Callithrix jacchus: one gene and its partners. Each later gene encodes a partner of the first gene's protein in a complex. Links are inferred from orthologs where the notes say so. Each region holds a gene or a part of one and is shown on either strand. Other genes may lie near its edges. The genes, in order: MED12, MED31 and MED20.

Evidence for each region.
Region 2: MED12 (region 1) and MED31 share a complex: the UniProt entries of both Homo sapiens proteins name them as parts of the mediator complex. The link is inferred for Callithrix jacchus from reciprocal best matches to the Homo sapiens genes MED12 and MED31.
Region 3: MED12 (region 1) and MED20 share a complex: the UniProt entries of both Homo sapiens proteins name them as parts of the mediator complex. The link is inferred for Callithrix jacchus from reciprocal best matches to the Homo sapiens genes MED12 and MED20.

The regions. Positions count from the first base shown.
Region 1 is NC_133524.1:68,398,241-68,401,987, forward strand, and holds the start of MED12 (mediator of RNA polymerase II transcription subunit 12), read left to right. Parts: upstream 1-1,431; 5' UTR 1,432-1,600; coding exon 1,601-1,699; intron 1,700-2,206; coding exon 2,207-2,311; intron 2,312-2,518; coding exon 2,519-2,710; intron 2,711-2,846; coding exon 2,847-3,006; intron 3,007-3,506; coding exon 3,507-3,688; intron 3,689-3,747. UniProt on the Homo sapiens protein: Component of the Mediator complex, a coactivator involved in the regulated transcription of nearly all RNA polymerase II-dependent genes.
Region 2 is NC_133506.1:108,211,089-108,214,835, reverse strand, and holds the start of MED31 (mediator of RNA polymerase II transcription subunit 31), read left to right. Parts: upstream 1-1,354; 5' UTR 1,355-1,436; coding exon 1,437-1,464; intron 1,465-2,282; coding exon 2,283-2,360; intron 2,361-2,645; coding exon 2,646-2,742; intron 2,743-3,747. UniProt on the Homo sapiens protein: Component of the Mediator complex, a coactivator involved in the regulated transcription of nearly all RNA polymerase II-dependent genes.
Region 3 is NC_133505.1:50,422,608-50,426,354, forward strand, and holds the start of MED20 (mediator of RNA polymerase II transcription subunit 20), read right to left. Parts: upstream 2,265-3,747; 5' UTR 2,164-2,264; coding exon of another isoform or gene 2,150-2,163; intron 1,270-2,149; 5' UTR 1,219-1,269; coding exon 1,124-1,218; intron 1-1,123. Other genes in the region: BYSL (bystin), read left to right, coding at 2,703-2,970. UniProt on the Homo sapiens protein: Component of the Mediator complex, a coactivator involved in the regulated transcription of nearly all RNA polymerase II-dependent genes.

The DNA of each region.
Region 1 (3,747 bases):
GTGAGCCGAGATCACGCCACTGCATTTTATCCTGGGTAACAAGAGCAAGACTCCGTCTCAAAAAAATAAATAAAATAAATAAAAATAAAAATATCCTTCAGTTAGTTTAAATGTTACCTCAGCCTCCCGAGCAGCTGGGATTACAGGCACCTGCCACCCTGCCAGCTAATTTTTGTATTTTTAGTAGAGATGGGATTTCACCACGTTGGCTAGGCTGGCCTTGAATTTCCGACCTCAGGTGATCCGCCCTTCTTGGCCTCCCAAAGTGCTGAGATTACAGACCTGAACCACTGCTCCCGGCCTTGAATTAATTTTTCTTTCCATTGTGATTCAACAGCATTTTGTTATTTTTGTTACTGGTGTTATTTTTGTTTCTTGTTATTTGTTACTTTTGTTACAGCACACGGCTGTCTTTTCTCTAAAAGGCTCGCCTGTAGTCCCGGCTACTAGGAGGCTGAGGCGAAAGGATGGCTGGAGTCCAGGAGGTTGAGCCTGGGCAACAGAGGGAGAACGTGCCTCAAAATAAATAAATAAATGGCAATACGATAATAGGATATTGGCTCTGGAATCGAAAATCTTAGTGCTGGCTCTGTTACTCAGTAGCTGTATAATATTGGGTAAGTGAATTTTCACACTTTGAAAACCAGCTTCCTCATCCGCAAAATGGAGCCAATAATAATCCCTAACTCCTGAGACTGTGAGGAGATTAAAGGAGATAATGTCTGAAAAGCACCTGACACAGTAGGTGCCCCTTTCGCTAGACCAAGGGTTCTTAACCTGGAGTTCATGGACCCTTAGGGGATACATGGATGAATTTCAGGGGATCTAAGAATCTCCTTGGAAAGTAACATTTTGCATGTCAATATATGCATTCTGAGAAGGTCCATAGCTTTCATCAGCACCTTTAAGGGTTTGTGAATCAAAAAAGTTAGTCTGTGGTACCCTTGGGCAGAAAACACAAAAAAAGGTTAGGTAACTCGATTGTAGACCTTGAGGGATTAGAGCCAGCCTTTCAGGGTTTAATAGGTTCTTTCTTATGCATACATAGTTTCTAATGTTCACAATAGCCCCTTGAAGGAGGTGTTAGCGCACCTATTTTTCAGATGCCAGAACTAAGAAACGAAGTAATCTGTAATAGATGGAGTTTCTAACCAGTGCAAACATTATTTAAAACTTGTCTAGGCCAAAACTGAGCTAGGCTCTGGGAACCGAATTCCAGTCAGAACTCAGCACCACAGAGGCCTCCCTCTTCCCTGGTTTGCATCCCCAGCTCATTCCGCGCCTCCGGAACGTTTCATAGGTTTTTGCTGAGTTAAATCGACTTGCCGCCGCCACCGCCGAAAAGCTCCCGAGGCACAGAGCTCCGCCCCCACCGCGCCAGGCCCCACCCCCTCTGTGGTCGGTATTGTCCGATTGTTCCCGGCGTCCCTCGGCTTCCCTCGGTAGTTTCCGGCAATGGTCGAGAGTTTCTAACGTGCCCCCTTGTCTCTCGGCCGCCGTCCTCCCAACCACCGCCCCCCTTTTCGGCTCCCTCTCCCGGTTCCCGCTCCCCTAGTCAGCCTGGCCCTGCTGGCGCCTCAGGCGCTACGGGCTGGTCAAGATGGCGGCCTTCGGGATCTTGAGCTACGAACACCGGCCCCTGAAGCGGCCGCGACTGGGGCCTCCCGATGTTTACCCTCAAGACCCCAAACAGAAGGAGGTGCGTTCGATAATCGGGGCTCTGGAGGGGCCGGGGGCACGCGATCAGCCTAGGAGGAGGCATTGACGGCCAGGAAGGGGGGGCGGGGCGGTTCGGTGGGAACCAAAGTATTGAAAGGGGGAAGAGTAAAGTGGGGTGGCGTGGGAGGGCAGAACAGGGGGCGGTGGGGGGGTTCCAAGGTATGAATAGGGGGTGATGTAGGGGGCCGCACCAGAGGCGCCCTCCTCCACACACACCTCAGAAAGTTGTCTGAGGCAGCTTGGTGGGGTACGGCTGCTCGCAAGAAAAGAGTGATGTTTGAGGGTGCGTTGGGTGGCTGGGAATCATAGTGACCAAAGGGGTGCGGGTGGGGTCCAAGTGAATGTAAGGGCCCAGCTGTAAGTAACAATCTGTTCTACACGGAACCCTCCTCCCCGCCTGTCCCCTTGTTCCTTCGTTTCTCCTGCCCTCCTCTCCCACCACCTCCCACTAAGGAAAACAAAACTAAATGACGCTTTCCTGCCTCAGGATGAACTGACGGCCTTGAATGTAAAACAAGGTTTCAATAACCAGCCTGCTGTCTCTGGGGATGAACATGGCAGTGCCAAGAACATCAACTTCAATCCTGCCAAGGTGAGACAACTCTGCCAGGCTGAAGGAAAAGGCTGGAAAAATCTGAGAAGGAGCAAAGGCCCTGGGTTGGGAAGACTTAAAGGGACAACCTAAGTGGCTGAGTTTACCTTCATGACTTAATGATATCTCATTGACATTTGACCATCAAAAGGCAGGACCACCTGTCTCCCCTTCTTCTCACCCTGAGGTGCAGTTTTCTTCCCTCAGATCAGTTCCAACTTCAGCAGCATTATTGCAGAGAAGTTACGTTGTAATACCCTGCCTGACACTGGTCGCAGGAAGCCCCAAGTGAACCAGAAGGACAACTTCTGGCTGGTGACTGCACGATCCCAGAGTGCCATTAACACTTGGTTCACTGACTTGGCTGGCACCAAGCCACTCACACAGCTAGCCAAAAAGGTGAGGTACTGTTTCCTGTCCTTCAGGCCAAGGAGGGAGCATGAGGTACCAAGTACCCTCCTATTCCCATATTAAGCTACATGGGTATCAGCTCATGGGGTTAATAGAGACCTCACTATTTGCAATGTCCATCCAGGTCCCCATTTTCAGTAAGAAGGAAGAAGTGTTTGGGTACTTAGCCAAATACACAGTGCCTGTGATGCGAGCCGCCTGGCTCATTAAGATGACCTGTGCCTACTATGCAGCAATCTCTGAGACCAAGGTTAAGAAGAGAAATGTTGTTGACCCTTTCACGGGTGAGTAACTCCTAACACCAGGTATACTGCTGATGGCTTCAAGGAGTGATAGAGACACCCTTGGAACCATCCTCCTTCTTAATCTAGATTCCTTGTTTCTGCTTGTTTCTTGCATTCGCTTGATCAGTAAACACTGAGAAATTTGAATATCTACTTTGTGCCTATACTGGGCTACAAAGATGTCCAGTGCATAATCTCTGCCCCCAGGATACTGGTAGTCTAGTAGGGCTACTAAGACATATGTACAAATAACATAATCAAATATAGAAAGTGGTGAATGTCAAGCCAGGAGGCAGAAGGTTCTTTGAGTGGACAGAAAGATTACTTTCTTATGGGGATACCTGGGAAGGCTTTAGGAAGGTGGGATTTGACTAGAGACTAAAAGGATGAATCACATTTACAAATACGGTGATTGGGGGTGGAGGTACGGTATTCTAAGTAGAAGGATATTCTCATCAGAAGGATAGTATCAAATAGCCCTTTTCCCCTCTTTCCTCCAGAATGGACTCAGATCATCACCAAGTACTTATGGGAGCAGCTACAGAAGATGGCTGAATACTACCGGCCAGGGCCTGCAGGAAGTGGGGGCTGTGGTTCCACGATAGGGCCCTTGCCCCATGATGTAGAGGTGGCAATCCGGCAGTGGGATTACAATGAGAAGCTGGCCATGTTCATGTTTCAGGTAGGGAGTAGGGCATGTTGTGTGGGGCATTGGGTTGAGCCTGAACTTGTACTCTGCCA
Region 2 (3,747 bases), on another chromosome or scaffold:
TTTCTACTTACAATGGGTTTATTGGGAGGTAACCCCATTGTAAGTGGAGGAGTATCTGTAGTGCCTGGCACAGAGCAGCTACTCAATAAATATGACTCTTGTCCATCTTGTTCAAACCTCAGGTCAGGTTTCAATGACTTCCTTTCACTTTCCCTTCTAAGATTATTTTTGCTTGCTGGTAGGTTTGCTATCATTTTTAACATCTAACCTACCTTAAAAAAGTATGTGAATGGGGGTGCCAGGTAAAAGAAAACCATTTACTTTGAAACATAAACAAAGGGCAATTAATAATTTATGAGTTAGTTGCTTCTCAAGCTTTTAGCAGGCATGGAATCATTCCACAGGTCATGATTTCAGTTTGGTCTGTGTTCCTAAGGGGCGAAGGTCATCGGAGGGCTTTGGATCCCAAACTCACCTGGCTCAGAGGTTCAAACAGCCTTTGTCCATCAACCCGATTTATACAGCATCCTGGGCCTGAAAACCTTTTGTGCTGGCTTCAAGTGAATATAATTCACTGGGTCAAAAGCAGGCTGGTCCAAGACGCCGCAGGATGGTCAAAAAACGTTGGCTGTGTTCAGGAACCGCAGCCTAGCTGTTTCTTACATTGATTTATGAGCTATTTCCATGAAACCGAAAAAGATTGGTCCACCTGGCAGCTGGCTGGCTGGCAACTGGAGGCCTTTCTGTCCTGGCTGAGGGCCCTGGCACCTTGGTGGCCTTTGGGAAGCAGTATCTCATCAGGCTTCTTTCTCTCGGAGGGAGGGGGTGGTGGTGGCGGCCGGCCTGGCCCGCGGGGCTGGGCTCTCCGCGCGGTGCAGAGACGTCTCCACCCGCAGGGTCCCTGACGTGGCGGGAGGTCGTTTCCGTGCGCCGCGAGGAGGCTTCCACGTGCCAGGAGGACTCCTTGAGGACGCCAGGGAGCCACTTTCCCGACGGGGAGAGGGAAGACCCCTCGCTGCGGCCCCGTGAGGTCTCCACCCATCCGGGCGGACCGTAGACGTCTCCGCGTAGCGGGAGATCCGCACCGGGGCGAAGACTGCTTGCCCCCTGGGCTGAGGCCATTCTGCCAGGCGTGAGGGGGGCCAGGGAGGCCTCTGGGCACCCCACATACCAACCGTCACCGCAGGCAGAAGAGAGAAAAACTACTGTACTACCACAGGGGGGAGAGCCACAACACGATGATGTGGAAGCATCATTGTCCTTCGAAGGCTAAAACACTAGGCTTCTGCCCCTCGGGCGCTCCCACGGCCCTGTCCCCGCCCCCTCGCCGTTCGGTAGCCAGCGGGGATGGAGCGGCCCGGGGATGGGCGGAGCCTCCCGGCCGCATATCCCACAATGCCCCGGGACCGGAAGAGGGAGCTGTGGTTTTTGGAACTTCCCTCGCCACTCTGGGCGTTTGCTCTGTCGGGCTGGTGGCGGGTTGGTGTGTGTTTGTTATGGCCGCCGCCGTCGCTATGGAGACAGGTGAGTAGCTCTCTGAGCCTGGAGTCTTCTCAGATGGAACGCTCCTAGGCCCAGACCTCTTCCCCGGGGCTTCCTTTCAGGCCTCACTCTGCAGGGTTCGTATTTGGACAGGGCGGAGAGAAGGCCCTTGTGGCGTCTAGAAAGGCTAAGGTACTTTTCGCAGTTCTCCTAATTTGGTTTGTGCCACATCTTTGCTATTCAAAAACCACCAGCTCGCCAGGGTGGGCGAGATTAAGAGAGGACTTGTGTGTTAAACCGTGTCCTCCTTGATTGGTTTTCTGCTTCTCACGAGCTTGCGTATTTGAAATACCGTCGCTAGACTTGTGTATCATTGTGCTGTTGCTGCTTCTCAGATATGCATAAACTCCACGATCTTTTAGGCTCTCTGCAGTCTCTTTTTCGGCTTGCATCCTAAGTTTTTCTTAAAGGATTCAGCGCGTAGCTTTTGCGAAACGTAATCACTGTTAACAATTGTTACAATGCATTATTAAAATAGGGGAAGCACAGTTATTACAGCTTACCTAAGTGATCACTTAAAATTCCTGCAAAGTGGTCCACGAGTTGGTAGGAATTCTGCTCTGTTTGTGTGGCTGTTTTCTTTGATGATTTCTCTTTAACTTTAGAGAAACTTCTAACTTAATCCTTTTAATCAAGGCTCCGCTTTTCTTAGATTTCGAAGAAAGGTTTATCTCCACCCACTCCCAGTTTAGGAAGACCATCTCGATATTAGTCAGGTTTCTTTATTCTTTCCTTACCACAAATCAGTATTATATACAGTGACCTTTATTTTCGATGATTTTTGCTGTCTTGTCTCCTAGATGATGCTGGAAATCGACTTCGGTTTCAATTGGAGTTGGAATTTGTGCAATGTTTAGCCAACCCAAATTACCTTAATTGTAAGTTTTTAAGCACCTCATTAAATTGAGTAGCTGTTAATTTCTGACAGAAGAGTTGCAATTCAAAATAGTATCTGCTTGTACACATTCTCAATGAAATGAAATTACACTTAGCTGGTGTATAGATGTAATTGTGTACATTGGGACTTGTATTTTGAATCCGATGTGTGTTGGTGGTGGGAGTGTTATGTAAATAGATCCTTTATATTAGGGGTAACAAATCATAGTTTAAGAATTGGTTTGACCTACAGATTTTCTTTTTTTTTTTTTTTTAATGCTTTTCAGTTCTTGCCCAAAGAGGTTACTTCAAAGACAAAGCTTTTGTTAATTATCTTAAATACTTGCTTTACTGGAAAGACCCAGAATATGCCAAGTATCTAAAGTAAGTTTAATTTTTATAATCCTAAGCATGTGTATACTTTATTATATAATAGATTTCTTAGTTTCACATTGGCAAAAATGTATTTTGAATCTCTCCACTTCTTTCAGTTGTCACCTTAATACAAGACACCCTCATCTCTAACTTGTATCACTGCAGTAATCTATTGCCTGGTTATCTCTGCTTCCACTTTTACCTTCCTGCTCCCCTCCCGCTCCCTGCAAACCAAACAAAGCAAAACAGCTTTCTACACAGAAGCCTGCTTAATCACTTAAAAATATAAATCAGAACACTTTACTTTTTTGCCTAGAATCTTTCAATGGCTTTGCATTTCCATGCGAAATAAAATCCAGTCTCTCTTTTTTGGGCCAAACCCCTCTATGATCTGGCTCTGCTTTGTCTGACCTTGTCTTTTACCGACCTCCCCATCTCCCCAGGTTTCTGATCTCAAAGAACTCACAATCTGTAAATGTTGTTTAACATTACGTAATTTCAGCCATGGGCTGAAATTAAGAACACAAAAAGAGAGTATCTGTAAGGAAGGTGTTTGGGGTTGTTGGGAGGAGTCTTACCTGAATCTTAGAACTGCTATCTTTTCTTTAAGTCCTGTTCTGTGTCAAGAACAGTGCTAAATACTTCACATGCATTTACTCATTTATGTGTATATATATGTTTACCATTCAGGTTGTTCAGCAGACACTTTCCTGTTAAAGCTTACTAAGTTGCAAGAAGTGTATTATAACCAGAAAGCAATTCCCTTTTAATGGTAAAAAAAAACAAAAAACTACACCTTGAACTCACACCTCTGCTTTGTTTTAAGCAGGTAGTCAGAAAGCAGTAGTGAACTTTTTTTTTTAAGACAAAAATTTGAGAGGAAATGTTTCAAATTTGTCTTGAAGTCACTTTTCTGTATGCAGTAACAGTTGACTCATGAAGCATATACATCTTGTGTTGCCTGCAGGACCGTTTGTATCTTTTCTGGCTTTTTATCCATTTAATAATCCAAAG
Region 3 (3,747 bases), on another chromosome or scaffold:
CCTTTATATAATCTTCTCTATATAATCATATAATAGTTAATAGTATGAGTGCCTAAAGAATATTTCCCTACATGTATACCTATATCTTAGTTCATATCAGAGGAATGCGTAGAGTGGACACAGTACATAGTATGAATTAAGGAATAAGCAGCTTATAATCAGAGGAATGCCTAAGAGCAGACACTGTGCAGAGCATGATTTAAGGGAAAAACAGTTATGCCAGGACAAGAATCCATGGCCCAGGCGGCAGCGTTCAGTATCGTAAAGATACCCGCTGTATGGCAGGCTTGGGACGAGAGCCACTCCTCCTCATGAAGGAGTTGTAGGACCTTGCTCCCGTTCTTGTGGAAGGCTGCCCTCAGAACGGCAATCCACCTTGGTGACTGTGAACTTTATCAGCTCTTGCTACTGTGCTGCTTGAAAAGCATCTTCCCATAGGACCCATTGGAAGCTGCCAGAAGGTGGCGGTAACCCTGACAGCTCTGTCACTGCTATGTGACTTAAAGCATCCTCCTATAAATCTTCCTAGAAGGAGTTTGACCATAGATAGAAGTATTGCACACTGAGCACGGCCCACCTTCATACCTCGGTGACCTAATGGGGGTGGACCCCTTACTGCACACGGCCCTTGCCTTTGTGGGAACGGGCCCTTTGCTGTGCACTGTCCACCTCCTGGCCTAGGTGACCTCATGGGGGTGGACCCCATGTTTTATTGCTCACGACCCTATCTCTATCCTTAAAGATGATTTCACTCACTGGCCTGCCCCCTAACCTACACAATAAATACTCATGCTTCTGGACATTCGGGGCCTCGCCTGACTCTGCTTCTAGGTGGTGTGCCCCCCTCTCCACCCTGAGCCCAGCTGCGTTTTTGTTGTACTTCTGTGTCCTGTCTCTTTATTTCTCGGATCCTGCGCCTCAGCACAGCATAAGGCTCACCCCACGACCCTGTGGGGCCATCAGCCCTACATCAGGCTCCCAACGTGCCCTACATCCTTTCCCTGGAGCTGCCTTTTCCATTTGAGAGCAGGGGTGGCAGGGCACAATGGCTCATGTCTGTAATGCCAACACTTTGGGAGACCAAAGCAGGAGGCTCACTTCAGTTCAGAAATTCAAAACCCACTTGTGCAAAATAGCAAGACCCAATTTCTTTTTTTTTTTTTTTAAAGAAAGAGCAAAGGGTTCCAGGGTTCTACGCTGCATCCGTTCCATTTCCATCTTTCACGTATCTTGCTTCCATTAAGGAACACAGGAGGAGGAGGATGTCAACTGTGGGAAACAAGAGTGCAATCACTGAGAAACCCGCGAGAAACGGGGCTACCAGGAGAAGTATTTACCCCACACACGCTTTTATATGAGCTACAGCCACTGGCTTCAGATATCCTGGCCCCCGGGATTCTCCCACAGGAAAGATGCTCACACCTCCTGCGATAAGAAAAAAAAATGTCTGGGACCTAGTACCTTACAACTAATGCCTCCGCGAGCGTTGTACCTTTCCCTGCCACCTCATCTTCCAACTGAGACTTAAAACATATGAAAGATAAAAACTCCATTGAAACTAGACCAACCATGGAATTAAACATAGTGAGAAGCAGGTCCTAAAGAGTGCCTGGAACCACGATCTCCTTCTTATCAATAGCCTCTTTTTTCCTCTAGACCCAAGATCTTAAAATGGGCAAATTACAAACAGACACCAGCTGGTCTAACTGCATTTGATGGCTGAGACAAGGGTAGGCGAAAATCTCAAAAAAAAAAAAAAAAAATACTGTCTCCTGATCGCTTTTAACCTACTCCCTCCAACCCTGTCTGCAGGTAGGTCCTAATCCAAAGTCCCTATTTCCAACCTTGAGGTCCAAGTGCAGACAGTACTATGGCCTCACGGGAAGGAAGATGTACCCATAAGGGAAGAAGGTACATAACCATTGATAGGTCCCTGGTATAAAACCTTTGCTCTGCCGCCTTCCAAGAGGTAAGAGCGCATCTCCGAGGAAAAAGGCCCAGGGAACCCGCGGCCCGCACGGTATCCTCTTATCCAGATAACCCGAGGACATTTCGCTCAGCTCCCAGAGGACGGCGGGCCATGGTCAAGGACCTCTTCCCGGCCCTTCACAACTCCAAATCCCGCCCCACAAAACCCCTGCAGTCCTACCAAGTCACTCCCATGGTGTCGGGACAGGAAGGTGGCAGGATCACACAGTAGAAATGCGTCGTTCCCAGTCCGCCCACAGGAACTGCTTCAGTTCCCCAACACAGGCTTCGGTCGCAGAAGGGATTCCGGAAATACGTAAAAACAGAGCGCCGGGTCCACGCCTTCCCCAAGGAATGGGGCGTGTCTTGGCACCCGTCGGTGACGCCTCCAGTGACATAATCAGTGGATTCCCGCTCTCATGTTTCTAGCTCCGGAAATTCCCGGTTGGCTGAGCACTCTAGGCTTAGATCCATGAAGCTAGAAGAACGAGACTTAGACTGCACTATTGAGAGACGCCAACGTTAAAGGAAGTAAATGTATTTGGGAGTCCAGCTCCGGAACCCAGGAGCTCTTTTAGTGGGAGGGGCGGTGCTGATAGCGCTTCTGGCCTCCGATAGCTAGAGGGCGCTGTGATCGCAGCGTGGCCTCTTGGGAGGTGGGAGTTCACCCAAGTGTATTCTGGCCTTTTCGTCGTCCCCACGTGCGAACCTTCCCGGCAGTATTTTCAAGAAAAATGCCCAAGTTCAAGGCCACCCGTGGGGCCGGGGGTCAGGAAAAACATGCGCCCCTGGCTGAGCAGATCCTAGCTGGGAATGCGTTGCGGGCAGGGGTCCGGGAGAAGCGGCGGGGTCGTGGCACCGGAGAAGAGGAGGAAGAGTATGTGGGGCCTCGGCTGAGCCGACGGATTTTGCAGCAAGCACGGCAGCAACAGGAGGAGCTCGAGGCCGAGCATGGGACTGGGGACAAGCCCGCGGCGCCGCAGGAACGCACCACGCGGCTGGGTGAGTGTCTGGGATGAGGTCCGAACAAGACAATGGCTAGCAGCGGGGCCGGGGGCGGGGGGGAGGACAGCTAAAAAGTGTCCGGCAGGGGACTTGCAAAAGTAATGGAATGGGAGACTAAGCAATGGCCAGAGACCTCCGCGCCCACTCCTAGTTTTAGGCACTCCCTTCTAGGCACCCCCGAAGTTAGGCCAATAGGAAGTAATCGCTCGCGCCACTAAGTGTTCTTAGCATTTATCCATTGGTTTTGTAAATATTTATGGAAAACCTACTACGAGCTTTGCGCTATGCTCGAAGTTCAATCGAATATTTGAGTACAGAAGTAACAACATACAGACACGTCTGATTTAAGGACCTTACAGTCAAGCCCAGCGGAGAGACAATTACGTAGACTCTTAGAATAATATATTTCCATGATAAAATATCGTTTCCCTGGTGACAGTAGCATTGGTCTTGAGAAGCTTCTCCGATTGTAGGACCTTTAAGCTGAGAACTGAAAAACGAATGGGAAGTGTAATGAGCAGAAAACACGTTTCGCAGACAAAAAGGGAGAGAAATGAATTGACGTTTGATAGGTTCTTACTAGGGAGGGAGTGCTTACCTCTGAGGTGCTTCATCCACTTCTCAGATCTCATCTAAAGCAATATTTGACACAATTGAATAGTGGCCTCCTGCCCACAGTATCCTTACTTGGGTTATAAGACATCAACACTGCTGTTTCACTGCCACCTCACTTCTCAATATCGTTGGCTGACTCTTACTTGCAACCTCTTATCC